Linked DNA regions of Tamandua tetradactyla. The protein of the gene in region 1 purifies or fractionates together with the protein of each later gene. This does not show direct contact. Links are inferred from orthologs where the notes say so. Each region holds a gene or a part of one and is shown in the gene's direction. Other genes may lie near its edges. The genes, in order: MYCBP, SPAG5, ARFGEF1 and OTUD4.

Region 1 (7,675 bases):
AAAGTTAACGTATATATAATTATTAAAAAGTAAGTAAATGATAGTCCCACCACCCAGAGATAATCATAGGTAATATTTCAATGAATATCCTTCTAGACTTTTTGTATGTATCGCTACAAAGAAATAGATATTTTTACAATAATGGGGTCATACTATTCTATATCAAGAATAGACCTAAAAGCCAGACTGATAGGACTTGAATGCCAGCTCCAACTGTGCGACCTTGGGTAAATCAATTAAGGTGGGCCCTAGTTTCCCCCATTATAAAATGGGGAAACATACTTCATGGAATTTTTGTGATGGACCTATTTTGTAGTTATACCATCCTAGTATTTTGTTTGTGTAACATTTTCCTTTATACAAGGGATATAAGATAGACTTTTTTTTTTTATGAAAGTGAATTAAAAGTCACTCTTTTTATCTTTCCTTTGAGAGCCCAGGCTATCAACCTTAATATGGAACCCACTAGCTGATAATCCAGTTAATTATAAGTTTCTCTATTGCTCCCTCAAAAAAAGCAAGCTACATGTCTTAAATAGCTCAGATATTGATACAATGAAAATTTCTATAATACCACCGTGTGCTGGTTTGAAAGGATGTATGTACCCTAGAAAAGCCAGGTTTTAATCCTAATCCCATTTTGAAAAGGCTGCCATTTCTTCTAATCCCTATTCAGTACTGTATGCTTGAAATTTTAATTAGATTATCTCCCTGGAGATGTGACTCAAGAGTGGTTGTTAAATTGGATTAGGTGGAGACATGTCTCCACCCATTCCAGGTGGGTCTTGATTACTTTACTGGAATCCTATAAAAGAGGAAACATCTTGGAGAAAGCGGGAGATTCAGAGAGAGAGGAGAAGAATGTCAGAACCATGAGAAAGCCACAATAGAGAATGCCTCAGAACTACAAAGCAGAGAGTTCACAGTCAGCGACTTTTGGAGATGAAGAAGAAAAACGCCTCCTGGGGAGCCAGAGAGGAAGCTAGCAGATGATGCCGTGTTCGCCATGTGCCCTTCCAGCTGAGACAGAAACACTGACCATGTTCACCATGTGCCCTTCCAGCTGAGAGAGAAACCCTGAACTTCATCAGCCTTCTTGAATCAAGGTACTTTTCTCTAGATACCTTAGATTGGACATTTCTATACACTTGCTATACACTTAATTGGGACATTTCCATGGCCTAAAAACTGTTAACTTGCAACTTATTAAATTCCCCTTTTTAAAAGCCATTCCATTTCTCGTATATTGCATGCTGGCAGCTAGCAAACTAGAACACACCACTACACCAATGATGCATTGATTTCAAGTAATATAAAATTTTGGCACTACCAAAATAGGTGACAACTTTTGTGGACTAAAAAAACTAATTCAATTTCCACAGTAAAAGCCAGATCTGTTTCCTCTGGTTTTATTAAATGCTATATCTTACTTATCAGATGGAGAACATTTATTTTCCTTTGTGTATACAAGAGAGTTAAATGATTAATCTTAGTAATAACTTTTATATAAAATAATCTTAATAAAAAGATATGTAAGATCCAGTTGGTAGGTTTAGGAAAACTCTATAAAGCTCCCCAGTTTAAAAACAAGACAAACTTCCTATAAACTAAGTAAGAAGATTCCTTTCTACAATTCTATTAATAAAGAATATATACATTGCTACCCCAGGTTTCACGCTTTTAAAAACTGCATTATGAAATCTAAACATGATTTTAAATTCTTGACTTATCTTAAATATTTTCCTAGTTATAATTATTACTGCTATCTAGGGGAAAGGTAAAGCAACCAACACAATGAATGATGCTTTGTTCAAATTTTGGCTATAGGTTTGCTTAAAGAAATTCTTCAGAACAGAAGAATTCACCTATCTCCTATTTGATGGGATTCAGAGCTAAGATGGCGGAATAAGTAAACATGGAGAACTGGAATTTCCTTGAAATTGGAATTTTCCTTGAATTGGAATTTTCCTATTCTGGAGGAACTTCATACTCACTCCACTATAATTGGGAATATCTGGCTCACCATCCTGTTCATATTTCGAATGCTTGCTCTGGGCACAGCAGCTGAAGATGTATGGAATGATGAGCAGTCTGTCTTCATTTGCAATATAGTCTGTCTTTATTTGCATTACAACCGGCTACAGAAATGTATGCTATGACCAGACCTTTCCTATCTCCCTCATTAGATACTGGGTTCTGCAGGTGGTATTTGTGTCTTCACCGTCCCTGGTCTACATACATGGGCCATGCCTTGAACAGACTGATCGTTTTGGAGAAAGAGAGGCAGAGGGTGAAAGTGCAAGTGAGAAGAGAACTAGAAGGGGTAAAGCTTGAAATGCCTGGGGATCAGAGAAGATTGGAGCAAGAACTTTGTCAGCTGGAGCAAAGAAACTAAATAAAGCTCCATTCAGAGGAACTTGACTTTGCACTTATGTGATACACGTTTTCACTTGCTCTGTGGTTGAAGCTGGTTTCATGATTCTACAGTATCTTTTATATGGATTTCACTTAGAGCCTCTATTTAAACGCCACAGCTACTCATGTCCAAATATAATTGTTTTGTCTCAAGACCAACTGAAAAGACAATATTACTTTTATTTAAGCAATCCATAGTCACTCTTTCACTTTTCTTAAATATTCTAGAAATTGTCCCCCTTGGTTTTAATAAGATTAAAAGAGGGCTTTGGGGACAACATAAATTGAAGGATGAACATAATGAATTCTATGTGAACAACTGAAAACAAAAGCCTGCTAAATATCAGCACCCATCTATAAACTCACTGAAGCAACTTCCTACTGCACCTGAGTATAATCTGTTAGTGGAAAAGCAAATTCACGTAACAGCGTACCCTCACTTAAATACATCTATATTACAGGCAAATAGTGACAATCACTTTAGAAATAACAAACGTCTTTCAGATGATCAGGATAGTTTCTGAGATATGCACAATTATTATTACATGGAGTCATCTTCAACAGATCAGTTCAAACAATCATGAAGGGACTCATAAAATACTTGAATAAGTGTAAACAATTAAAGGAAAAAAGAAACTGATGGCAAAGTCAGCAAAAGGAACTACTCTAGAGATCACATTTCTTTCTATTCCAAGTGTTGTTTAGATCTGGACAACCGTGTGGGATAGTCCCCCAAACTCTACCAGGAAACCAAAGCAGCTTATCTGGGGAACATGGGGTTCCTCTACAGAGGATCAAAACTGGATGTCCAAAATGTAGCCTCAAAGCCAGTCCAAAGAGGGCACAATCAGACCCTTCCTCCTTCAGAGTGACTCCCAGCCACCTGACATTCCAGGTACTCCTGAATCTCTGAAAGAACTGCCTTTTGAATTTGAATTAATCAGAACCCACAATACATTAGTGCTTGTCCTCCAAATCATTTAGTGTCACTGACCAACAACTTCATTGGTAGGAGGGCTCCCACAGACCTTCAGATCTGAACAGCTGGTGGCTTTCAAACATTCTGCATATGATATTATAGAAGTAGTCTAGTGAGAGGAGACAAAATAGATCTTTGAAGACCAGCTGTGAAGATAGACACCTATAAACCCCTTAAACAAAGAAAAAAGAAAGATAAGTCCTAGAGTAGCTTTAAATTTAAAGACAGAGTTATAATCAGGGTTACTTCTTCATCACCCCCTTCAGAATGTATGAAGAACTGATTTGGGGACAACTGAATATTCAGCATTGAGAAAAAAGGTGTGGAACCAGGTTTTCTCTTTGAAGGAGATTGTTCTTTTCTATATAATTCCCTTCTTTTAATTTCCAATCTTTTTATTTATGGACACTGGGTAAAATGTATTTGCTCCCAGAACTAAATAACTTACTTTCATCATAGAAAACTAATGTGTTTTGAGAACAACCATAATGCGGCTATTTAGTAAATACAATGTTAAAAAGATCTGTGGCTTTTCTTCACTAGTTTAACTAGTGATTAAAAGGGGACTCTCGAGTGGGACTGCTCGGATCAGAGTCTTGCCTCTGCTACACACTGGTCACCTAACTTCTCCTCCACCTTACTAACAGCATATAACCTTCCAAAGAAGGGTTAGAATTAAACTCAGAAACACACGGATTGAGTACTGTGCTAGGCACACAGTAAGTTGCTCAAAAGTGCTAGCTATTATTATTAGCATATTATTTACTACTCACCTTCCAGAGGCCCAGGTCAAGGTCAGCCAAACAACAAGGAAAATACAAACTTAAAAGCTGGTACCCAAACATACTTCTAAACATTCTCTCCAGGCCATTGGAAATCTAAGGATCGACCTGCGTCTGCAACGGGCCCTTTATCATCGTGAGCAAAGACCAGTAAGCACACCTTCCAGGCTCCCACTTGGAAAGGTCCTCCGTCGGCCAACGTCGCGGGCTGCGCAAACTCCGCTCCCGAACGCCACGCCCATCTCCAATCCCACCTGGACACTCACTCACTCACTGGTCCAGAATCATCAAAGCTTCGCCTCTCGCTAAGCAACCGAGTCGCTGCGTGGACCGGAAGAGGAAAGAGAAGCACTGCTCCGTTGGCCAGAGGGGCGGGCGTACGCAGCCTCCCTCGGCTCAGTCAGCTGTGGAGAGGCAGAGCGTCCTGGTCGTCATGATAACAGGCCACGCCCCGGCGATTCCCCACCGTATTTTGCAGGTGCGCAGGCGCTTGCGCCCTTCCGCGCATGAGCAGTACTGCTCGGAGCCCGCCAGCCACGGTCTCAGGCGCCAGCTACGCCGCGGCCGCTGTCACTATGGCCCATTACAAAGTGAGGGGAGCGCGGCGTGGCTGGGGACGTGCGGGCGGTAGCCAGCCGCTGGTCGGCTCCGGGTGGGAGTGGGGACGCGCGCGCAGGTTTTGGGGGTCTGAGGTAGTGAGGCGGAGGCGGGGTTGCCGGACTCCCAGAGCCTTCTTCCTGCTCCGGTCCCCGGGCTTCGGCCACTGACCCGCCGTGTCTCCTCAGGCCGCCGACTCGAAGCGCGAGCAGTTCCGGAGGTACTTGGAGAAGTCGGGGGTGCTGGACACGTTGACTAAGGGTGAGCATGGGCTAGATAGAAGGTTCCTCCTGCCCTCGTCGGGCTCCCCGGCGGTGCGCCCCGGACGCGGCAGTGAGTTGGGGAAGGAGAGGGGAACAGGTGGGACCCACCTGGCCCAGCAAGGTGGCTCTTGGGCTCCGCTGGGAGCGGCACGCCGGGCGGGGCTGCCGGACGCCGCCCTGCTAGGGGTAGCCTAGCTCACGCTACCAGTCTCTGGGTCGGGGAGTGGAAACTCTTGCAGCTGTTGCAAAGTCTTTCCAACTTCCGTTGCTTTGCCTTGAGCAGCCGCAGCGGGCGTGTTTGTTAAAGATCTTGAGATCCGGATTCTTCCCACCTTCGTTTTTTACGGAGCCCTCTGAATATTGTTGAGAAACATCTTCCCTTCAACAAAGGGATAAGTGAGAAAATTAGCAGACAAAGTGGACGATAAAGTAGCTGAGTCTAATAACCCAAGTAGGCGATTCATAGTCAATTTGGCTGTGGCTTTCAATTCCCATTTTTTAGTCTATATTAACTCCTATTTTGTGCAGATTTCATACTTAAAGTAGAATTACAGTTTGAAGAATCTGAAGCACACCAAAATGGTTATACTGTTTTCGCTTTTAAACATGGAAGCTTACTGTTACACTATTATCTCTTCTTCGGGATTCAGGATCTAAGTAGATGAGTAAGGGGAATGAAACTGGAAGGTTCCAAGAGATAGCCAGGGTGCAGTTTAGTTTATTAGCTCAGCGTAGTGTCAGTGCTTGTGTATCTTTCAGTTCACTGTCTGGGATTTTCAAGGGTGTAGAGTGGACGATCTAGTCGGGAGGAGGTCTTGGGTCCATATGAGAAGAATAGGAAGTATCTGAGAAGTAATTTGCTAACTGTTCTTCGGGCACAAGCAAAGCTTAAAGGAAAATTCTGGGAGAAAAATAACTGTGGGTCTTACTAGAAAGCAGAGCTTTTAATTCCCCTGCATGGGATGGTAGTTCTGAATTGCTATCTATTTTGGGCTCAGATGTTAGTTTTCCTATCTCTTTGCAAATAAATTTCACGAAACATTAAGGGAAAGTGCTATACTATGTTGCCTCTGAAAGTATCACCAATGCTTAGAATGTTGCCAGCCCCTCCAGCCAAAAAAACTCCGTAAGTTCATTTCTGTCATTTATTTAACCATTTTATTGAGGTCTGGGCACTGGGGAGACAGTAGTGGAAATAAAAAAAAAAAGTCCCTGCTCTCATGAGCTAATATTCTAGTTGGGGGAGACATATAATAAGTAAATACATAGTGTCAGCTAGTGTTATGAATAAGAGGACAGCAAGATAAGAGGATAAAGAGTGATAGATGGGATGTGGTGGTGGATGACCTCTCTTAAGAAGTTAAGTTTGATCAGAGACCTGAATATCAAGTATTATGTGATGTCAGGGGTTCCAAGAAGTTTAAATCTGCCAGAGTGGTGGGATGGAGTGAGTGAAGGAGAGAATAGTTAAGGGCAGAGAAATGTTGGCTGTGGTAGATGGCTGCACAGCTTTGTGGTATAAGGATTTTACTTCACGGGAGACTGGGAACCAGCTTCCTCTCACTTGCTCGCATCCACTGGAATCTAACCCCTCAGTTTCCCTACATAAAGTCAGACTATTTAATATTGTTAAACTTTGGTTTTCAGCTTCAAACATTATATACTTTAGACAGATTTAATATATAATTTTTATTCAGTGTATTTCCAAGAGAATTTGGAACTGCTATAACATTAAAACACTATAAGGCAGGATGGCTAAAGATAAAGATGATTATAAATAATTTAGAAGAAGAGGCATCTTAGTAGCACATAAGTTGATTATTTTGAGCACTATTTCCACCTCTAAAATTCCTGGCTGCTAAGGAAACATGATCAGGTAGAGCCTTCTTGTCTGATTAAAAGGAAGTATACGTCATCTATAGAAAAGCACAGAAAACTTAAAATATATATTCTGTAATTACTAACTTTGTAATTATCATTCACAAAAACTTAGAAGCTAAAAAGTCAGTGGGGGAAGAAGCAGAGGAAAGGGTAGAGTGTAACTACCCATGAATTTTATAAACCCATGTCTTATAAAATTGGAATCTACTGGAGGACAATGGAAATTAATGGAAGAAGAAACAAGTTTGAGCATATAATTTAAAGGAAGTGGTAGTAAATATGGGAAATTAAAGAGTACTATAAATATCAGATATTGAAAGGAGAGAGGAGGAGAGGAAAGGTGTAAATATGCCAATTTCTAAAAAAATGCATTATAAGTGCATTTAGAGAGATGAAGAGTAACTATTAGAACTCAAAGTAAATTAAATGTAGTTGTCTATTTGGTTTTTTTCATATTGTCTCTATTTCGGTAAGTGATTGAAAAACAAAGGGAAGCATGTAAGGAGGCTCGTAACTTGGGGCTTAGATAAGCACATTTTTTACTGTAACTTGTTTTGGCTGTTATCAGATTTTTAAAAGTAAATTCTAAGAGGAATTTGTTCGCTAGATGATGAGCAAAGTAGTGCTAACATGAGCTATATGTTATGAAGACATTAAAGTGTATTATGGATTTAAGCATGCTGTTACTGGTAAAGCTTTTGGTTGTTAATTAACATGCTGTGTGTGAAACCTGATTCTTGAAGAATATTTTGAATTCA
Region 2 (7,926 bases), on another chromosome or scaffold:
TATTTTTATTTATTAATTCCATCCTTGGATTAGGCCATATTTTCCCTGTACATAGTTGGCATTTTATTGGCCTCTGAAAAATTGCTTTTTCTGAATTGCACTTTGGCATGGTGCCTCCTGTATTCATTGAAGGTTGTCTTAAAGAAAGTCCCTATGAAACTTAATTGCTGTGCATAATGTAAAGGACAGTTATCATTAAAATTCATAGTGTTCTATCTGAGGATGCATGGGAGAAATTTTTTCTGGTGATAGTTGTGCTTTTCCAGAATTGCTATTTGGTTTTCACCTTAAATACCCTGAAATTATTCAATTTATTGTATTTTTCTCTTTGTACAAGATGCTAGACCACGTAGAACCTAATTTGTGGCCCACCTCCAGCTAGTGTTTAGGACTTCATGTTGTGCATTTTGTGTGTTAGCCACATTCTTGGCTCCATCTTCCTTTTCTACCTTTTCCTTAACCTTTTTCTAAGTTTTAATCTTTTGATCTTACTATATTACTTGCGTCTTTGTAAGCTTTTTTGGAATAAGGTTGGGATATAAATAAATAAAAGAATGTATCCTTAATCCTTTTGATTATCTCATTTGTTTCTCTTTGGACCCTTTTCTAGCATTATTACATTAAAAAAAAAGTAGTAGTGAGCAGAACTGTACATTGAAAAAAAAACCCTGAATACTAAAAATAGGAATGATTTCCAAAGTAAAAACATTATGTTGAAATTCAGACCTGGTGCCCGGATCCACCAAATACTAACTCAGTGTTTTTAGACAAGTCATTTTAACCACTCTAGATCTTAGTTTCCTGGTGTATAAAATGAAGGGGTTACAATCTGTGGTTCTGAATTGTGGGGAATGAGTTTCAGATTTGTGTAACATTTTCTCAAAGGGCAGATGCAGAGATCTGATGCTATGCAATACTATGTGTCTGGCCTACTGTTAATGTTCAGGTTGCCCAGCAATATACTGGCCTTTCTGCTTACAGTAGCATAATGGGTTAGTCTTTAGGAAATGGTTAGCATAATGTCACTAGAGTCCTTTTCCTAAGCCATATTAGATAACTTAGAGACCAAGATCATATAAGTGTAATTTAAATCATTTCTTCTCAAATGATCACATTTCCAACCTTCTCTTTAATTAGCTGTTCACTACAGCAGTGTTTTGCAGGGTAGAGTGGAGAGGTTGATAGAGAATCAAAAGTTTCAGAAAGTATCACTGCCCCATCCTCCTTCCCGAACTCTGATATGCTCATCCCTAGAGGACATTTTCTCTTCCCCACCTCCCACCTCATTCAGAATAACTAACCTACAAATGTTACACCCTTTAATTATTCATATGATATTCACTTAAAAAAAAAACACCTTATATATACAACTTTTCTAATCACCTAAGTTTATTCCTATGCTTTGCTTTTCATTACCTAGGGAAGACAGGAAATACACTTATAAACACGGATATCTCACTCTATATTCCTCTCTTTTATAAGAATTTAAGATTAGTCCTAACAACCAATCTTATATATTCTTCTAGAAAAGTATTTGTGGAGTGCTACTCATTGTTTCAAATCACTAACCTAAGTTCCTTTATCATATATTGATCTGTTCATTTGTTTGTTTGTTCACTGATTTAACAAACTGGTACTCTCAATTCCTTTGTTACTTCTTTAAGGAGTCTTCAATGTAGAATCCTGTCAAGCATTTTTTTTAATTAAATAAAATCACATTCACTGGTTCACTTTTATGAAAATGCATTATTAACCTCTGTGAAGAGTTCTAATGTATTAATCAGGAATGATTTTTTAATTTACAGAAAAGCATACTACCTTTTTCCCTAGGTCAATTTTGTTTTATTCTGAGAACATACTCATCATTTCAGATTTCACTGGCCTCATCATGAATTTGTTGTTTATGGGGTCCCAGTGACTAGCAGTGGCACACTGCTTCCTTTGTTCAGTTCTCCATCGTATTCAGCAGCAGGGCTAATAATTCCACAATTTCATCCTTGAATTCACTCAGAACTGCCTGGTAGGTATTCCTCAAGGTAGCTGATTTGTTCAACAAAATAAGAAATCTCTAATTCAAAAATTAAAAATCTGTAACTTAAATTGAACACCTATCTCATATCACATGCAAAAGTTAACTCCAGATAGATTAAAGCCTTAAATGTGATACATTAAAACAATCTTAGAAAATGATCATGATGATGAATATATAACTATGTGATGATATTGTAAATTACTGATTATATATGTAGAATGGAATGATCATCTGGTAAGAATGTTTGTGTTTGTATGTTGGTACATTTAATAAATAAAATAAATTTAAAAAAATATCTTAGAACAACTGGGGGACTAGAACTACAATCAAGGGATGAATGAGATACCTAAATCAAGACAGAGAATAAAAAAACTGTAATTAAAGACATATTTAACCACATAAAAATGTAAAATCTTTCTATGGTCAAAGATACCATTAATAAAATCAACAGACAAACAATAGACAAAAATATATTCGTAATATGATGATAAAGAGCTACTGTCTTTAACAGAACTCTTACAAATGGGAAAGGAAAATGAAATAATCTATTTTTAAAAAGGGAAAAGGTATATGAAGTGAGAAGTCAATGCAAATATCAGTTGACTTAGAAGGCTTTCTACAAAACCTTGAGTGAGAAGAAAATGCAAACAAAAAATTACTTCATTTTTATAAAGGACTCAATGTATGTATGCATGTGCATGCGCTAGTACATTCATGAAAAAGTATTAAGAGAGAAAGAGAACAAGAATTTGGGAGACAGAAGTAATGCAAGTGGGAAAATAAGAGGAAAAATATAATAAAGGTTTACACTAGGCCTCAATCCCAAAGACTCATCAATTAAAATTCTGTATGTGTGATTGTGCAAAAAGAAATTATAAAGCACTAGAGCTACATTTACTGACATAGGAATATCTAGGATTAATTGTTAAAAGCAATTTACAGAGTCAAGTGTATAGTTTGATTCTCCTTCAACAGACTCACAAGAAGCCCCCTGTATATGTGCGTGTGTATGTTGGTGTAAATTTGTGTATGTTTGTGTAGAGGAGGGTAAAATGGACAGGAGAGGCTTTTTCTTTAATACATCTTTGCATTATATTATTTTACTTGCTATAATCTATTTTTTTAATAAAATAAAAACCAACAAATCAAAAAAATATTATGCAAAATAACTTCAACAAACTAATTCTGTTTATATTATCTATTATTCCCAATGGCATTTTCTTTTTCATCTACTCCATACATATTCCTCCTGATTTACTGCTGGAAGTACTACATCACTTTGGCTACAGCTGACATCTGACACACTGGCTGCAACAAGGAATAGCATTCCAATTCACACCTTTTTAAATTTAAATTTCTCCTGGCACTTAAGAATTTTCTGTCTTGGTTTTTCTGCCACTTCCCACCCTTGTCTTATTTGCTGCATCAATATTAACTAGAAGTGTGCCTTGGAATTGAGCCTTGGGCAATCCCAGGCTCAACTTAGTCTTCTTATATTGTCTTTTCCAAACTTCCCATTCAAGCAACTAAGACTGTTATGTTTCTAGAGCAGTGCTGTCCAGTAGAAACAAAATGAAAGCCATATAAGTAATTATAAATTTGCTAATAGCCACATTAAAAAAGCAAAAAGAAACGTGAGGGTGGCCACGGTGGCTGAGCAGGCAGAATTTTCCCCTGCCGTGCGGAGACCAGGAATCGATTCCCGGTGCCTGACCATGCAAAAAAAAAAAAAAAAAAAAACCAAAGAAACGTGAAACTAATTTAATCTATTTTATTTAACCCAACATTAAAAAAAAAAAATCGTTCCAACACGTAATCAATATTTTAAAATGAGACCAGTATTTATTTTATACCTATAGCACATCTCAATTTGGACTAGCCACTTGTGAAGTGCTTAATAGCCACATATGGTAGTGGCTACGTATTGGACAACATAGTTCTAGAGAAGCCCATCCCCTAAAAGCCCTGCAGTTCATAATTGTTCCTCCTCCTTGCCTTTTCCAAACTCGTTAAGATTTCTAGAATGTAAATAAGGTGCTGTGAGTGTTCAAAGGAACATACACTCTATCATAAACCTGCCTTTATGCTGTTTTCGAAAAGTTGATTCCACCTTCAACGGATAAATCTCCCCTACACACAGGATTTAAGTGGCAGGAGAACGTAGTAGTGGATTGTGTGGGTTGGAATCTTGGTTCTGCCATTTACTATCTGAGGGACTTCGTGCAAATTACATTGTCTCTCTATGACTCAGTTCTTTCATCTATAAACGGGGATATTTATAGTACTTCACAGGCCCTTAAGAGGACTAAATGAGCTAATAAAGCACTTTGGAACAGCGCCAGGCAAATAAGAAATGTTCAATACATGTTTCAGTAAACTTGTCTCAGGCCTTAAGTCCCAAGAAAAGACCAGAAATCCTGAAGAGGCATTACCGCCGCCCGGGGGCTGCAGACTGGTTGGGAACTGCGTCTCAGGCCATCGCGGATATGGGACCCACGTGCAAGACCTCCAGATCTAAGTGAAACGCACTCTTCCACTCACCTCGGCCTTCCTGACTCCCCGGCCGGCTCATTTCCTGTCAGGTCTGAAGCGGTACCTGAGGAGAGCCTTCCCAAGACCAGGCCTCGAGGCAACCTTCCTGACAAGGTGTGAAGGTGGTCCATTGGAAGGAAGCAGGAGGGATGGACATCCTGACTCTCCAGATACCTGCGGCGCCCTCCCTCACCTGAAAGCTCAGGACCTGCAGCGAGCCTGTCGCGTCCTGCCTGCCAACGCCTGCGCCTCGCGGTCGCTCGAGGAGAGTGAGCGAACCCCGTGGCAGGCGCGGGAGGCGTGCGACCCCCCCCCGGCCCCGCCCACCCGTCGCCCGCCGGCGCGAGTCCGGAACAGACGCGGCGGCCTGACGCACCTCGGCAGCCAATCGGGAAGCGTGGGGCAAGTTCAAATAAAGACGGCGGGTGAAGATGGCGGCTCCCCTCGGGTCTAGCAGGTAGTCGACTTGCCCTCTACCCCAAAGATGTGGCGAGCGAAAAAACTGAGCCTCAGCCTGTCGCCTTCACCCCAGCGGGTAAGCGGGAGAGCCTCGCGGAGAAAGGGATCTGGGGCGGGGGCGCTGGCAGTGCCGAGTGTCTTGGAAAGCTGGGTGGAGGCTGGGCCGGGGTCCGTAAGGAACCTTGTTCCGTCTGGCCTCTTCAGCGCTACTGAAGCCCGAACCTATTTTTCTCATCGTCTCAGGGGCCTCTAAGGGAAGGAGAACGGCCAGCCCAGGGCTGGATTCTTCACTCTCGCTCTCTTCTCTTTCCCAGGGAAAACCAGCTATGAGAACGCCCCTCCGAGAACTTATCCTGCAGCCTGATGCCCACACAAATTCTGGAAAAGGGCCCGCTATATGCTCCTCGCTGACCCCATCACTGTGCAAGCTGGGGCTGCAGGTGAGAGTCGCCCGGCTTTTCTACTGGGCACTTTGCCCAGGTCCAGAGCTCAAAGGAACAGAGGGCCAGGGCTGGAACGTAATTAATAACGATAATGAAGTCTTTTACCTCAGTAACATCCATTTACAGTTATTCAGGCCAACAGAGAGGTACCCGAGGTTGGTTAAAGGAAATCCACTGAGAGCCCAAACCTCTATTTAGCTGTTAGTTTTTATCATCCACTCAGCCTGTATTAAACTGCTGAGAAATACTATCACTGATCGGTTGGCTCCTTCTTACATTGGCTCAGTAAGGGAGAGGTCGATCTGTTACAGCTGTGAGTCAATATCCATCCACTCCATGAGGTAGTCCAAACTTTACTGGGGTCATGGGAGGCTGGGTATATCACTCTTAATATGGACCACCTTAGTTTAGTCTCTTGGAGCTGTGACCGCTAAATTCTGCGTTTGTCAAAGATTTTGAGAGAGGCAGCGGTATAGAAACTGTCAGATTAAGAAGTTGACCCCGGTCTGTAAGGTTCCTCACAGAAATTTCTTTTAGAACTTATCACCTGGAAAAATGGTCTTCCTGTTCTTGTCTTTTTCTACTGATAATGAGACCCATGTAGTTTCTCATATTTTTCCTCATCCTCTGGCTTCTAAGAAGCTCGGGATCATACTTGATGACCAGGTATAGCTACACTTACTTCCTGAAATTGGAAGATTTGCTTCTTCTTTCTTTTTTGTCTAAGACTTCATATCTTTTTCATGCAGTCTGAATTATTTTTGGAAGGAGATGGGATATAAATAGGTTTAAGAGTAGAAGAATATATAAAAACAGATAATACCCTGAGTAACAAGTTTGAGGATAGCAGTTTTTCTTGAAAGAGTTCCAACACTTATCATCCAATAGAACTTTCTGTGATGATGGAAATGTTTGACAATCTATGCTGTCCAGCTTGATAGCTGCTAGTCACTTGAAATGTGGATAGTGGAACTGGAAAACTGAATTTTTTATTACATTTGAATTTAAATATCCACATGTGGTTAGTGGCACGCATATTGGATAGTACAGCTTAAGAAAGAAAATAAGAAATACTAAGTGGGAACTGATGTCCATAGAGATTATAGAATGTAACCATAGCCCTTTAATCACAGTAATAGAAAAGACTAGAATTTGTGTCTCCTGCCCCTCCTAACTAGAGAGTTTGCCCATTCACCTTCACCATCTCATAATATAGTCAACTATACTAACAAAAAGGGATTTTTCCCCTACAAAATAACTATTATTTTTATTTTATAAATTTTGATTATTTGTAATAATGCATGTTCATTGTTTGAAACATGAACAATATTAAAAATAAGAAAATACTTTCCCACTGATTTAGATACCTCATTGATATATTTGAAAATCTTTTCATTTATCTCTGTGTGTGTCTGTTTTTGTATGTATTTACATAAATGCACATCCATGTATTATAACACTTTTTTTTAATCAAGGCACTTTTTTTCCCCAAAATGCAATATTTTTCTCCCTTCTTCCTTCCCTTCCCTCCTCCCTTTTTTCCTTCTGCTTAGCTCTACTTTTCCTTTCTTTTGCTGGTCCTGTGGAGTCAGTACTTCCAAAACATGCCTTGCTTTTCCCAAGCCATTTAACAACCTGCTGTGTATCCTTCTGTATTTTTCTCTGTTCTTTTAATAATATGCAAACATACATAGTTATTTTCATGATAGAATCATATTATATACTTTTTTTGCTCTTTGCTTTTTTCATTTAACAATGTGGGTGGAAGTCACTGTAAGTCAACTTTGTAGAACTAATTCATAGCGTACCATGGTATGTATAAATCACAATTTATTCATTAATGGATATTTATTTTTCTGTGTTTTTTTTTCTACAAACAATCCTGGCGTAAATATCTTTGTACATGTATTAGGTACTGATGCTTTATTTTTATTATTAATTTTTAATTTTTTTTTAAATGTAACAACAAACAGACATTCTTAACATATGATCATTCCATTCTACATATATAATCAGTAATTCACAATATCATCACATAGTTGCATATTTCTCATCATGATCATTTCTTAGAATATTTGCATCAATTCAGAAAAAGAAATAAAAAGACAGAAAAAAATTCATACATGCCATATCCCTTACCACTCCCTTTCATTGATCACTAGCATTTCAATCTACTAAATTTATTTTAACATTTGTTCCCCCTATTATTTATCTTTATGCTGTATGTTTTACTTGTCTGTTGATAAGATAGATAAAAGAAGCATCAGACACAAGGTTTTCACAATCACAGTCACATTGGGAAAGCTATATCATTATACAATCATCTTCAAGAAACATGGCTACTGGAACACAGCTCTACATTTTCAGGCAGTTCCCTCCAGCCTCTCCCTTACATCTTGACTAACAAGGTGATATCTATTTAATGCGTGAGAATAACCTCCAGGATAACGTGACTCTGTT
Region 3 (7,225 bases), on another chromosome or scaffold:
GAAAGTCAAGAAGGGTCAGATTGAAAACTAATAGGATTTAGAGATCATGTGCAAGGCTTTTGGAGGTGAAGTAATTTCCTAGTCACATGAATGTTACTCTTTATGATGCTAACAAATATTGCCTTTTAACTTGAATCAAATATGCACAATCTTAATTAAAATTTTATGCGGTTTGTTTAATTTTCATCGTACGCTGAAATTATATCTATACGTTAAAAGGACTATAATAAAGCACACCAAGAAACTGAAAACCAGATACGCATCTTTTAGTTTTGATATTATTTGACAACTTGGAACCAAAGTGGGGAAAATGTACAGAGTAAAGACAAGGCTGTCAGTGTGTAGCAAAGTTATAGATGAAAGGAAAGATGAAGGGTAGTCAGACTATAGAAAGGCGAGGTTGCACAATGACAGGCAAATGGACTCAGAAAAGCAATCATGCATAGAAAAATATATTTTAAAATTTAGAGGATGAAAGGCAAATCAGTACACAGAATTTGAATGTTTTGAAAACAGCAAGGAATCAAATGCAAGTGAATATTAAGATTGGGTTTCTTATTTAAATACATAGGGTAAGCACCAAACAAAACAACAATAATAAAAAGAAAAAGGTAATAAATGTACGGTGCAATACAGTCATAATTTTATGTAAAAATTACCTGAGTTGGCACCCTCCAGTCCCTTCCTCTCAGCACCCTGTGAACTTGTCAACAAAAGACTAAAAATAGTATCTTTCCCTTTATCTTCCAAGGACATCAGCCTTATTCCAAAGTGTTATTCTATTTTTGCCCCAAGTCAGAGTTAATATTTTGAGTTAATATCCTTTCAAGACTATTCCTTCCATACCACCATTCCTAAAACCTTTTAGGTGACATCCTAGACCTGGCAGGAAGGGGAAATGAATCATCCTCTGGGAGAGAGGAGGATGTAGGTTGTTGCTTCTGAAAGGGGTTGGTCATGTCTCAGAGGCATTGATTCTTCTGGAACTGAAAACTGCAATTCCCACCCTCAAAACTGCTTCTCTTGCAATCTAGCCCATCTCCACAAATTGCGTCCCTACCCATTCAGTTGCTCTTGTCAGCCCCCAACATTTTTTAAAAAATTAATATGATATATGTATATATACACTACATAATATTTCCCATTTTAATCACTTCCAAGTAGATAATTCAGCGGTGGTAATTATATTCACAATGTTGTGCTACCATCATCACCATCCATTACCTATCTCTGTACCCATTAAGCATTAGCTTTCCATTTCCTGCTCCCACTGCCACCTCTAGTACCCTGTAATCATCTTTCTGTCTCTGTGAATTTGCATATTCTAGTTATTTCATATAAGTGAGATCATACAATACTTGTATGCCTAGTCCTCCTCCATTCTTATTGACACCATATTCCCTTGATCCTTTCAGCCACTCTAATCTTTTTGTTCCTAAAACTTATCAAATTTCCCTCCACCTCAAGAGAATGTTACCTGGAAAGCTCTTCCTTGACTTAATTTGGCTAAATTTACTCTTCAGCTCTCAGTTTAAATGTCACTTCTTCAGGCAAGCCATAGCTGAATCCATAATCTAAAGTAGATTGCTTCATAGCTCTCTTCTTTAATTACAGCTCACACATTTGTAATCATATATTAACTAGTGATTACTTGTTTAATATCTTTCCTTGTGGCTACATACTATCAGCTTTACAAGCGCAGTGATCATGCCTGACCTAAACAAGTACCTTTCATTGTCCCAAGTTTCTAATCACTAAGTTTATACTAAAGACCTTTATATATCTAGGATTATACTAGGTGTTGGGTGAAAAAGATAGATGAGATCCCTACACTTATTGGGGAAATAGACCATAAACTAACAAACAGAACAGATGATTTCAGATTATAAAGGAGCTATAAAGTAGTCTATGAGCAGCAGGGATTTCTCTCTGTATTGCTCATTAAGGAATCCCAATAGGATAAAGCTAGCTGCTAAACATAACTGAAGAGTCTTTTTTGCTCACATAAAATCCAAAACAGGTATTCCTAATGAGTGGCCAACTCTCCTCCAAGTGGTAATTGAGGGATCTCTGCCATATTCAGCATATGGGCAAAGAAGAGGAATGAGTGTGGAAAATTTCTGTAGGACATTTAAAAAAAAAAAAAAGGTATGGTGGTTTGGAGCTATGTACTCCAGAAAAAACATGTTCTTAAACTTAATCCATTCCTGTGGGAATGAACCCATTGTAAGTAGGAGCATTTGATGAGATTACTTCAGCTAAGGTATGGCCCAACTCAATCTGGATAGGTCTTAATCCTATTACTGGAGTCCTCTATCAGCAGAGCAAAAGTCAAGACAGAAAGAGAGAGAAGGCCACGGGAAGCAAGAAGTTGAAGGTCAACAGAACCTGGAAGAGAAGGGAGAGGCCAAGAGAGGCTGCCATGTCCATTGCTATGTGACAGAGAAATCCAGGACCAAGGATTACAGGACAGCCAACCCCAGAATGCCAGTTTTTGGCAAGAAATCATCACTTCGATGGCACCTTGATGTGGAGTTATTTTCAAAACTATAAGCCAATAAATTTACATTGCTTAAGCCAAAGAAATTAAGACAAAGGGCTAAGTCTGGATGAACACACATATCTGCAAAGGAAGTTGGGGAATACAACGCATCTCTGTGATGAGGAAGAAGAGTTAAATGTAATCAGTGATCAGCTAGCACCTTCAAAGTGCCTGGCACAACACTGGCATTGTAAAGAAACAAAGTCAATAATAAATGGAGCTTATTCTCAAAAAGGTTTTAATCTATCAGAATGTATATAAGCAGTCAATATTATGTATGATCTAGGAATGTATTGAATCTCCAATTTCCATGAATCTAGAGAAAGACTTTAAAAACTATTTGTGGCTCCTTGCTTGTTTTTCTTTAAACTTACAGAGTTGATAATGTTTGTACAAATCAGTTTTGAGAAGTATTTCGTTGTGTAAATATTGTAGAGCAATTCCTCTCGAACTTTAAAAATGCATTCTGCATATTGATAATACTTATATAACCACTTGGTATTAGTATCTAACACTTTAATAAATATTTATTTCAGATCAATAAATAAACACATTTTAATTCTGGCTATATTGTATGGGGATCAATTTTTTCCTACTTTACAGATGAACATGCACAGTAACTGACATGTTCAAAGTCCTGCTGAGGCAAGTGGTCAATTCAGGAATAGAATCCAGTTGCTTTTTCCACTAGAATCCTTTCCTAATTGGTGCTACAATTCCAGTTGGTGTCTATTTCTATTTTTAACTGATATAAATATTAGCTCCATTTTTTCTTTTCCATTTATATTATTTGTTAATCTTCAATGGAATTAATGGATTTGTCACTCAGCATAACAGTACTAAAAATTAGTCATCTTAAGGTCTTCCATTTTTATTTCTTCTGGTTTTTAGCTTGTTCCAAATCTTTCCATTCATCGGTTTGCACAGTCGCATTAGGAGAAAGTTCAGAGTAGAGACAATGAAATGGAACAGAATAGTAAGAGAGACATAAGGATTAGTGATGGGGTGTTGATGGAAACACACAGTGGCTTGGAACTTGGAAGAATAGATTTCAGGTTCTTATCTGAGAAGTGCCCCCAACATCACTTGTTTGCGTACATTTTATAGTAAGTTGTTCGCGTACATTTTATAGTAGTCTCCGTAATTCTCTCCTCAAATAACGTAGATATTTGAATTCTTTTTTTGGTACCAAAGCAGACACATGGTCACGTTTGTGTGTATTTAGGATCATCTGTTTGTATTTAAAGCTCTTTTCATTTCTTGGACCGAAAGTTAGTGTTAAAGGCATAGAAACACTGGGCTCCAGGTGACCACATCACTCAGAAACATTGACTTGTTAAGCAAATTGAATCAGACTCAACACCGAAGTGACTTAAAACCTAGTTCATTGATTTATCCTACAGATACATGAAAAAATGAAACATTCCCGAACCTCTGTGAGTTGGTTTTAGTTTACCCTCCCAAAGAGCGAAACATTTCGGAGGAGGTGGGAGGGCACGGCACGGTCCCGGGGTCCGCCACGCCCCACGCCGCCCTGCGGGCGAACGCGGGAGGCAACGAGGCCCCGCCGGGCCGCCGTAGCGCTGCGCCTCGGGTCGCTCCTCCCGCGCCGTCCTCCGCCTCTGCCTCCCGGCGCCGCGGCAGCTCTGGACTAAGCAGCGCCGCCGCCGCCGCCGCCGCCGCCGCTTCCTCCTCTGCAGCCGTTCGGCCGCTGCGTGACGCGTCGTTTCCTCCCAACATGGCGGCTAGGGCAGGTCGGCGGTGATGGAGGCCAGTCCTCGGCCGCCTCGGGTGCTGACCCCACATTAGCCAGGGAAGTTCTGCTCTCGCCGGGCCTCTCAGCCCCCGCCACCTCGGCCTTCGGTCCCTGGCAGACCTCCGCCGGGGCCGGAGGGACAAGTGAAAGGGGCGGCTGGGAAGCGACCCCCAGGCCCGTAGAAGCCGAGTCCCGACGGGCGCGGCCCTGGAGGGGCGGCTTCTCGGGGGGCAGCGAGGACCTCGGGCTCCTGGTGGGCACCGCGGCTGGTCCCAGTTCCCCGCCCCTTCCTGCTCCTGCGCTGCCCTCCACGCCTCCTATCCCCCATCTCCACCCTCTATTTTCTCTTCTCTTTCCCACTTCCTTCACACCACCCCCCTCCGGCCTCTGGGAGCAACTGGTCGGACGAGCCGCAGCCTCCTCTGCGTCCATGTATGAGGGGAAGAAGACGAAGAACATGTTCCTTACCCGGGCCCTGGAGAAGATTTTGGCCGACAAGGAAGTGAAGAAGGCGCATCACTCCCAGCTGCGCAAAGCTTGTGAGGTGGCGTTAGGTGAGTGACGGGAGGCCCGGGGTGAGGTGGGGGTAACTGGCGCGGCGGCGGCCCCCGTCGGAGGTGGGGTCGACCGGGGGCTTGCCCACGTCCGGCGCCACGACCTCGGGGAGCCCTCGCGAAGCTCTCCGCTGCCTGGCAGGAGTTGATCGCAACTCGACTGGATGTGGGGCAGGGGAGGGTGGAGGAGGAAGGGAAGTTGGCTGGGCTCGAGGTGCGCGGCAGGATTTGGGCTTGCCCGGCACCTGCTTCGAGTCTGCAAGAGAATTTTGTTGGTGGGCTGTGCGGGATGGATAGGATACCACCCTTTGTGATGAAGCCTAAGATGAGCTGTTGTTTATTAGCATGGAAATTGAGGTGGAGCTGCTCTGTCAAGATTGTGTGTGGGGAGGGTTTCGTATCGCAATTACGATAACTTTTATTCGGCGTGGTACTTTGGAAAGATAAGGCTGAAGTTGTTCCTTGCTGACATTCTGCGAAGGGTTTTACAAGAGGTGCACCCGGTTCTGACATCTCTCCGCCTCCGCCACAGGAAAAACAAAACAAAACAGAGTAATGTATTGACTGGGCTGACCTGGAAGAACATGATCAGAGGTTAGGGGTAGTGGTATAAAAGCGGGGAGGAAAAGGACCTTTAGATAAACTGGCTTTCCGTGACAGGAGATGGGACGGTTTGAAATGGGGAAAATGGAAAAAGACAATGACACCCACCAGCCACATGTCTGGACAGCGGCAGCTGCTCGCAATCTTGAATTGTGATTTATAGTTCAGATGGAAGAGATCTAGTGTAATGAAGCTCATAGCAGGATAAATCTAAACAGTACTTATAGCAAGGACGTGGATTTAGGAATGATTAAAGAGGGGGACACTGTTCAATCGCATCCATCAAAGATGAAGTCGTTTAAGGGGAGAGATCAGGACATTTAACACAAAGATGAATTTCTAATGCTTAGGCTTTATTTCATAGCTCTAGAAACAGACTAGGCCAAATTGATGAGAAAAGGAAGCTTGTTAAAACGGATAGGCTTTGGAAAATAGTGTTCTTGAAGGAAGGAATCCAGAATACTTGTATGTTTATGCCAAATAAAGGGTCAAGATGGCTTAAAAATAGTTTTGCCTTTTGAATATTAAAATAAATAGGCTATGATTTAATTTACTTAACTGTTTTCTTCATTTTTGATCCTTAAATTTGGTAATATTGAAAAAAATCAAAGAAATTTCATCTTAAAGTTTTTGCATCCATGTATAATGGGCTTAAGTTTAGTTTCCTGCACCTCTCATGGATCAGAAGTTCGCCTTTTGTTATTCTCGTAGCTAATAAAATGCTGTTTCAGGTATATGAGAACATAATGGTACAGTGGTAAAAATTTAATTTATTTTTGGGTCCTGAAAGAAATAATTATTAAATTGTGACAGGTTGAGATTTCAGAGTTTTAAAAAATGTTGTTATATGTAGGTATATGTATAACTTGTAGGCTTAAAGAACTTAAAAGATTCAGCCTAAACATTTAGTTTTTGATACTTCAGATTTTTCATGTTAGAAAATATTTGTAATATAACAAATATTATATTCATTATAATAAATGTCAGACTGAAGAAATGGTGTGTGTTGTGTATAATATTTACCCTCTCCAAAAAAACTTATACAAATAAGTGTGTTTTATGGAGAGCTTACTGGAAGGAGAATCTGGGAACCTGGATTTGAATCTCAATTGTTATGATCCCATATCAGGCAAGTCCCTGGGCCTTAAAAATCAAGATATTGAACTTAATGACTGTAAGTTCACATCCCCTTTAATGTGTCACAAATGTGAATGCTGTGTTCTTTTTACTTTTTTAAAAAATATTTTCACTGATAAATCCTCACACATACATTCCATGCACGGTGTACAATCCATGGCTCACAGTACCATCACGTAGTTTTGTATTCATCACCATGATCATTTTTTAGAACATTTGCATCACTCTAGAAAAAGAAAAGAGAAAAACAACTCATAGTACCATACCCCTTATTCCTCCTTCTCACTGATCACTATTATTCCCATCTACCGAATTTATTTTACTGTTTGTCCCCCTGATTATTTATTCTTTATCCTTATTTTTTTACTCATCTGTCCATATTCTGGATTAAAGGAGCAACATACACAAGGTTTTCACAATCTCACAGTCACATTGTGAAAGTTATTTCTTTATACAATTGTCTTCAAGAATCAAGGCAACTGGAACACAGCTCAAAGTTTCAAGTACTTCCCTCCAGCCACTCCAATACACCATAAACTAAAAAGGGATTCTATAGAATGCATAAGAATAACCTCTAGAATAACCTGTTGACTCTTTGAAATCTCCCTGCCACTGAAACTTTGTCTCATTTCT
Region 4 (7,764 bases), on another chromosome or scaffold:
TCCCCTCTCCTTCCTTTCCCCCCTTGCTCCTCCCCAGCTATAACCCCTCTCCAAAAAGTGGTGGGTTCAATTCATTTATTTTTCTTTCACAAAACGATTTGAAAGTGAGTGTTCCAAAGCTTACAGGCCATGAGGCATTTAGAGACCCCAGTTCCTCCATCTATTATCTTTTTGCATGCCCAAAGCTGGTCTAATAGTTCAACCATCTTTCCAACCCAGCTTATAGGAAGTGGGAAAGAGAGTAGAGGGCAGATGCTTCATCTTCAAGATGACCTGGAAGCTGAACCCATCAATCCTGCTCACATTGCATTGGCCTAAATACAGTCACATGGTTATATTCAGCTCCAAGGTAGGTTGGGAAACGTGGTCTGAAGCTGATCAGCCACAGACCCAAAACTCAGGGGAAATGGGATGGGAAGTAGAGGAGTGTTAGGGATCTCTTGCACAGAAGATCTGGAAGAAACTGTTCTCACTTCATAAAATAGGTTCTTTGTAGGATTCAGTTGCTTGACCTTTTATAGAAAATAAACCAACATGGTATGTCGCAATTAAGTCCAGACATTTCTAGGTTACTTCATTTATGTGAGAAAAGATTTTATAAATAAATTTTAGAAATCCACTTACTGGCTAGTTTGTTTTTGGTAAAATATTTCACATTTATTTATTTATTTTAGAGAACTTTTAAGACCACTAATGATATTAATTAGTGATTATTTTCATGAATTATTGAAATACATTCCATATCAACCTAGTAAAGAGAATGAATGGAGAATTCTATCTCTATTGCTTATCTATTGCTGTATAAGAATTATAACACTCCAAAACTTAACAGCTTAAAACAACAAATGTTTATTATCTCAGACAACTTAGATCAAGAAGCTCAGAATCTCAGTCAAGAATCTCAGAACTGGAAGTTTCTGGCTCAAGATTTCTCATGTTGTTGCGGCTGAGATGACTGCCAGGCCTGCAGTCATCTGAAAGCTTGACTGGCCTGGAGAGTCTGATTTTAAGCTGACTCACGTGGATGTTGGCAAGAGGCTTCAGTTCCTTACCAAAGGAAACTCCCTAAGTCTGCTCACAGCACATAGAAGCTAGCTTCCCCCAGAGTGAGTGAACCAATAAAGTATTTGAGAGCAATCCAAATGCTGCAAATGTTTTTTTATGATGTCAGAAGTGACATGCTATCACTTTTGCTCTACTCAATTTGTGGACGGGGTAGGTTGGGGAGGGGTGGTGAATATCCAGAGGCAGGGATCATTGGAAAGTAACCATCTTTAGAGGCTGGTTACCTCAATACCTAATTTCCTATTAGGAAAATAAAAATCCAGAAAATCTGTTTTTTAATAAAAATTTAAACAATTCAGTCCAATGCAATCAGTCTCTAGTCCCAAAGTTCGTCAGAGGAAACAAACCGACTTGAGGTATTGATTGTGTACAAGAAGAGTTGGTTGACACGTTGACATAAGGTGAATTTGATTAATTTTACTTGGTTCTCAGGAATTACAGTCTTTTAGGTTTTATTTGATTAAAATGATAGCTGTTTAAAGAAGTTCTGAATTTTGGCAGGTCAGAAGTGGCTTCCTCCAAACGAACATTTTCAATCAGAGCTGGTCCCTTGATAAGTTTCAAATGTTAATGTTAACATATGACGGGCCTTTGAAAATAAGAGACTTTCTCTAAGTTTTGGTTCAGTTTAAAGTCCTAGGATCCTCTAATCTAGGTTGAACACTGAGCTATATTTGGGGATTTGGCATACAGAGGGTCTGTCTTGGATTAGGTCTCAAAATACCTAAAGGATTTCCTTAAACAGGCCCCTGGGTCAGAAAAACAGGTGCATGACTTCTAATTTTGGAACCAGAAGCAGCCAGTTTAGTGTGAGGCTGTTCTGCATTCATTCAGCAAGGGTGAGGACAATAAGTAATTTTTGGCACTACATCAACTCTAGGAAAGAGTAGAAATGGTTATTCCTTCAGATAACAAACCACAGTTTTATAAGATCGTATAGAATTGTGGTAAACTGATAAAGGCCTCTGTTTTCTTAGTATTTAGTAATTCATTTTAAAAATATTGAAAGCAAGCCCTAGTGCCAGACTCTACCAGAATAGTTACAATTTATTTAAATGATCATGTCTTCTTATATTGATAATATTTTTGTCTTTGGATTACATTTTTTGCAATGGAAAATAAAGTGTAGAATTAACGTGTTTGGTTTCCTTTTCTTTTTGAAGTATTTCTAGGGAGTTCTGGGGTTTTAGAAGTTATAACATTATTTTTTAAAAAGTCAGCACATTTGAATAGGATTAAAATATGGATAATCCATAAAATAAAAATATGCTTGAAGCACTGCCAGTTTCCCATGAATGTAACTTATAAAAGTGAGCAAATCTTTTTTATTTGAAAACTCTTTTTTAAAATTAAAGTAATGTAATCATGACATTTCAAATACAAAACAAGGGTTGATAAACTTCGAAATGTGAAATACCAGGAAATACAAGTTTCTATTATATTCTCAAGATATTCAGCATAAAATCTTAGCATGTTCTATACAGCTCGTTTCCTATAAATATATATTAAATATGAGATTAGCTTCAGAACTTATTGAAGGAATATTAAAATAAAAGCTTGGAAAGCCATGGTTTTCTTTAGTCATGGCAGAAAGTATGTTATTTATAAAATTAGTGAGATAGAATCTATTCATTTCTGGAATTCAGTATTAAAACTCTACAGTTCAGACATTACTTTGAATTCCTCTGTGGGTTTAAAAGGCAAGCCATGTTGTGAGTAGTGGCAATACTTGGCAATTTTAAGATAGTGTAATGAGTAGCATATGCAATGTAAATATACTCAAAGAAAGAAAAGCAACAGATTTGATCTGAAATTAGATTTTTCTGAAAGTGATTCCAAAGTGTTTCTATACTATCTGTAAAAAATTTAATATTGGGACAAAGAAATCCTTTCACGTAGGTCAGATTAACGTCTGTATTCTCTGAAAACAGCACAATTTGAAATAGACTCTTTAAATATTAAGAAATCAAAATTTAGAAGCTCCAAGGGAAATTTACGCACTACTACGTAAGTGCTTGTACCTAAAGAACTGGAAATACATTTCTAAGAGAGTTTTCATTTATGTTTTTCACTTATGTAACTTATGTTAGACACTCACCATTTAGCCTCCCTTGGCCCTATTTCAAAGTGCTTATTCTACTACCTGTCTAAACCTATAGAATCCCTCTACTTTCCCTTCTCCCTCCAAGGCTTCAAAGCTTGGAGCAGTTTCTACAATTAAACACATTTAAATAAGGACTCCAGACGCTGTTGTATTTTAGCAAAATAAATTTCTGGCGTCCAAAAAGTATGCTGGATAAATTCCGGGTTCTAAAGCCTCTGACTCTGCTTTGCCAATTTCCTCGTCATTCAACTTTGGAGGGTAGGAAATTGAGCTGGAAGCCTCAGCGCTCTTAAAACCCATGGCAAGTCTGGTACCTTATCAAGCAATTACAGGACTTTTTTTTTTTTTCTTAAGAAAGGATAAAATAATTTTAACTTTTTTCTGACCGCTGACTTAGTTGTCTGCGTGTTTGGGGGCACAGCTACAGTGAGGCGATGGACAAAACCGTCTGTGGCAAAGTCATCACCTCGCCGTAATGCGTGAGCAGTATTTCTAATTTCTAAAAGGAATCATCAGTCCACGGTTGATTTATGGAAAGCGTGTGTCGTGCCTCACGCCGCCAGTTCCAGGAGCCTTCGCCAATTAGCTCTATTTTCTGCTTAAGCCATTAAAGCCACCTCCATGGAAACGCCAGGAGGGTAGGCCGGGGGAGGGGAGCAAACAGGTGCGCTCTCTGGAAATACACAAAGGGCCGACATTGCCGCCGCAGTGTCCCTGGCAACTCCACGCACGCAGGATACGCGCACTTGCGCGGCACCGCGGAGCAGCCGGCAGCCGGTCAGCCCGGGCGGCGCGCGCAGGCGGCCGCGCATCGGCTCGCGGAGACCCTGGGCCTGCTCGCGGCCGCGGGGCCCGGGAAGCGGGAGGCGGCGCCGGCGCTGGCGCTGTAGGGACTTGTAGTCCGCGAGCCTCCCGGGCGCCTCCTCCGCGTAGGCCGGTCCGCGCGTCCTCACCCGCCGCTATCCGACTTCCTGCCGCTGCCAAAACTACACCTCCCGCCGACCTCTCCGCTGTCGGGCGGAAAGCGAAAACAAATTCTGGGCTGCGAGGGTGCAACCCTCCTTCGGGTGCCCCCACCCGCTCCCCGCCCCTCCGGCGTCCTCCCGCGAGGTGGGGAAACGAAAGGCCGCTTCTTTCTCTTTTGGTTTCCTCGGCTGCTTGCGTGGGGAACGCGTGAGGGACGCAGGCCTCGCTTCACCTCAGCCGGCCCGGCGCCCTCGCCCGTGCGGGGCTTTGCTCGCCTCACACCAGTCGGGACGAGGAAACTTGTGGAGGCGGTGACCCCCCGCGCCCTGTCCAGTTCCTGAGCCGGGCGGCGAGGCCACAGGGAAGTGACTCCTCACTCTCGGGTTTTTCTTTAATTTTTTTTCAACGTGCTCCGCCTGGGCGCGTGGTCCCTCCGGGCAGGCGGCCGCGTGCGAACAGCCATGCACTAGGCAGGGCTTCCCCTATGCGCCCGGAGAGCGCGGACCGGTGCCTCGGGCCACTGCCGCCTGCTGCCGCCGCCAGCGGAGCCCGAGCCGGAGCCGCCGTCTGCCCTAGGCCGGGGCGTCGAGGAGCCGGCGGCGCGGCCATGTGGGGCTAGCCCGCGCCACGCCTGGGCTGCAGGAGCACCGGCAACATGGAAGCGACCGTCGGCTTCCCCGACGGCGGGGACCAGGGCGGCGCGGGGCTCCGCGGGGACGCGACGCCCATGGATGCTTATCTGCGGAAACTGGGCTTGTATCGGAAACTGATCGCCAAGGACGGGTCGTGCCTTTTCCGGGCCGTGGCGGAACAGGTAATAATTTGGCGGGGGTCAAGGGGAGGCGGGTGCGGCCGCGGGCAGTTGTCGGGCCGCCGGGTGAGGCTGCGCGTGGCGCCGCTGTCGTCATAGCGGCCCATTGTAACGCCGGAACGGGTTGCTGCCTTAGGTCTTAGAGCTATAAACCGGAATGTAAAAGCCTGTGAGATGACTGGGTGTCGCCTCTCCTGTTGAAAAGGTAATGAATCGACGACAACTTATGAGGCCTGCTCTGAGCCATGTACAGTTTGTATGCTTTGCAGGCTTGGTGAACAGATAATTTTCTGTTTTGTTCCGCATTCATCTTCCCTTCGTTCTCTAAGCATAACGTTCACATCAGTAAACCAGATGTTTCCTGGAGGAGGTGGCGCATCAAACTTTCCTCGTGGAATATGTGTATTTTTGTTACCAGGCTTTGGAATGTGGGGTATTCAAGCCTTCCGATGTCATGTCACTCAATCAAGAGGGTAAAATTTGCAATTTGGGAAAGCGCACTTAAGAAAAACAGGGTTTTGAAAATTGTCTTTGAGTAAATTCCCCCTCTCACTACGTTCTGCAAGACAGTGTAAGTACACAAAAACGGAATTCTTTTTTTAAAAAAGAATTTACTGTTTTGGTGTTAGTAGTAGGCACGGCGTAAGTGGAGAGCCTCTAGGCCCTCCTTGACCAGATGTTTCCCTGTTAGTGGTCAAAATCACAAAATTGCTTAGGGCGGTGCTTCTGTTCCTTGAAAGGGCTTATTCCAGGCTGTATAATACATGTGTAGCTGTAGGTGTGCAGTCACCAAAATCTGGCTTTATTGAAAAAGAACTACTGAAGTAGTTGGGTAAAAGTTTTACATTACTGCTGTAGTCTGTATTTCACACCTTTCAGTTTGCTTAAAATCTGTGCCCTGTCCATGAGTTTTTTATGATCTTCTCACCTTTTTTTTGAATGCTAGTTAGCTTTCAGGGTTTTTGTTTATGAGTAAATATTTTACTTAATGAACACCTGGGGAGCAGTCCATCCTCTTTTTCTTTTAAACTTCACAGACCAGTCATCACTTTTCCAAAGATTGCTGTTTTCACTTCAGTGACATAAAATCTTTTCTTTAAACAAGCAATTGATTTAACAAGTATAAGCCATTTTCACTAGGTTACAGGTATTGTTTTTCAAACTTTCTTCCTAAAGTTCCCCAAACCAAGCTCCATCTTTTTCAATTCCATTAGGTTTTGCTTTTTAGAAAATGGAATGTTTGGTGTTCCTGTGGTGTACTCTCTCTTTCATACACATACGCGCATGCGCGTATTAATTTTCCGTCCCCTTTTCCTTCCTCTTCCTAAGACTCCCTGAACTCCTTAGAACCTCTAGAAGCTGGGGGAAGAAGTGGGAGTGATTTCAGCCCATATTTATACATACTGTTAGCTGTAGCAAGAGTCTTATAAGGAAGGAGGTAGAAACTAATTGAAATAAGAGAAGTTTGGAGTGTATTTGGAGTTGGATTATCCAGGCTGTCATTTATATTGAAACAGAAAGGTGTATCTGGTTTCACCATTACTTGCTATAAATATTTTGCAAACTTGATTATACAGAGGCGTGTAAATTATTGTAATGGGATCTCTAAAATTTTTTTTCTTAGTAGAAAGGGGCATCAGCTAGTTAGACTAAGGAATCATTGCTAACATCAGATAACACTGTTTTGGTGTATCTTACTGTACTAGGATTTACCTTAGATATAAGGAAATATCCTCCAATTATGTGAATGGTTTTTAGTACTGAGCTTGGAAAGCTCAACACTGTGAACTTGGGAGCACCCCACTTCTAAAGTAGACTTGGACTAAGGGTATAGCAATCATAGCCAAAGGCAAAGTGTATATGGGAAAAGGGAAATAACAGTGGCCTCAGGCTCCTCCTATAAAATGTGTACAAAGGGTTTTGTTTTTTTTGTCAACTATTTCTCCTATGAAGTCAATATAAATATCCCTCATTTCTAAGAAGGAGACAGAGTAAGTAATCTAAAGGCAGTCTTTAGAGAGATTGAGTTAGGAGGAGTCTTTCCCTCCACATTACCTGATTTAGATAGGGAAAGATAGGCCTTTCCCTTTTTGCACTTGTAGAATTCGGCCTGCAGGAGGCTTGACCTCAATCAGCTCCACAGTTATGGAACTAAAAATAGGCCACTCTTAAGAGGACTTGCTAAAGCAGTGTGCCTTAGCCTTTCCCAGTTTTTATCACTATATTGTTCTAAGATGGGAAAATCTCGTAGTTCTAGCTCATTTCATGCATATAATAATTTGCAAAGATAGGTATATGTCAAACCCTTTTAATTCTTCCTGAATTAAACTTGCACAATCATTTTTTTTAAGTTGTCATTTAACCTTGCTTCTCTTGCAGTGAAAAGAGTTTCTCTTGCTTTGTAAAGCTTTATAAAGCACCCGTGCCTCCACACTTTGTGGATGTTGCTGAGGATTGTGCTTCTGATTTCATATGCCAAAATCTTTCTTAGAAGAGAAAAAAATGAGATACACTTGCCTTTATTATTTTTTTTGTTGCCATTGTTTTTGATGGGAAATGAGCCCTTATGTCTGCCACCTGTTGCTAGGTAATGGTTTTAGGACTAGCTTCACTTTGGTAACAGCAGGAAAAGTCTTATCAGATAATACTGTGGTTGATTCATAATAATGTTTAACATAGCTACTGTGAAAGACATTTTGCTAAATTTCATTTGTTGAATTGGCTGTCTGATTGTATGGTGATTATTTCACATGTGAATAGTCTTTCCAGTGTTGGAATCTTAGTGCTTTTCTCTAGTGTTACAAGACAGTAATGAAAG

Evidence for each region.
Region 2: the proteins of MYCBP (region 1) and SPAG5 purify together in Homo sapiens (co-immunoprecipitation; 3 studies listed by BioGRID and IntAct, with this or other methods). This does not show direct contact. The link is inferred for Tamandua tetradactyla from reciprocal best matches to the Homo sapiens genes MYCBP and SPAG5.
Region 3: the proteins of MYCBP (region 1) and ARFGEF1 purify together in Homo sapiens (co-immunoprecipitation; 4 studies listed by BioGRID and IntAct, with this or other methods). This does not show direct contact. The link is inferred for Tamandua tetradactyla from reciprocal best matches to the Homo sapiens genes MYCBP and ARFGEF1.
Region 4: the proteins of MYCBP (region 1) and OTUD4 purify together in Homo sapiens (co-immunoprecipitation; 3 studies listed by BioGRID and IntAct, with this or other methods). This does not show direct contact. The link is inferred for Tamandua tetradactyla from reciprocal best matches to the Homo sapiens genes MYCBP and OTUD4.

The regions. Positions count from the first base shown.
Region 1 is NC_135328.1:186,514,623-186,522,297, forward strand, and holds the start of MYCBP (C-Myc-binding protein), read left to right. Parts: upstream 1-4,664; 5' UTR 4,665-4,682; coding exon 4,683-4,766; exon of another isoform or gene 4,767-4,961; coding exon 4,962-5,034; exon of another isoform or gene 5,035-5,415; intron 5,416-7,675. UniProt on the Homo sapiens protein: May control the transcriptional activity of MYC. Stimulates the activation of E box-dependent transcription by MYC.
Region 2 is NC_135332.1:51,827,257-51,835,182, reverse strand, and holds the start of SPAG5 (sperm-associated antigen 5), read left to right. Parts: upstream 1-4,921; 5' UTR 4,922-5,048; coding exon 5,049-5,099; intron 5,100-5,337; coding exon 5,338-5,463; intron 5,464-7,926. UniProt on the Homo sapiens protein: Essential component of the mitotic spindle required for normal chromosome segregation and progression into anaphase. Required for chromosome alignment, normal timing of sister chromatid segregation, and maintenance of spindle pole architecture.
Region 3 is NC_135332.1:111,147,047-111,154,271, reverse strand, and holds the start of ARFGEF1 (brefeldin A-inhibited guanine nucleotide-exchange protein 1), read left to right. Parts: upstream 1-4,208; 5' UTR 4,209-4,728; coding exon 4,729-4,852; intron 4,853-7,225. UniProt on the Homo sapiens protein: Promotes guanine-nucleotide exchange on ARF1 and ARF3. Promotes the activation of ARF1/ARF3 through replacement of GDP with GTP. Involved in vesicular trafficking.
Region 4 is NC_135348.1:22,904,348-22,912,111, forward strand, and holds the start of OTUD4 (OTU domain-containing protein 4), read left to right. Parts: upstream 1-4,756; 5' UTR 4,757-4,790; coding exon 4,791-4,949; intron 4,950-5,023; exon of another isoform or gene 5,024-5,151; intron 5,152-7,764.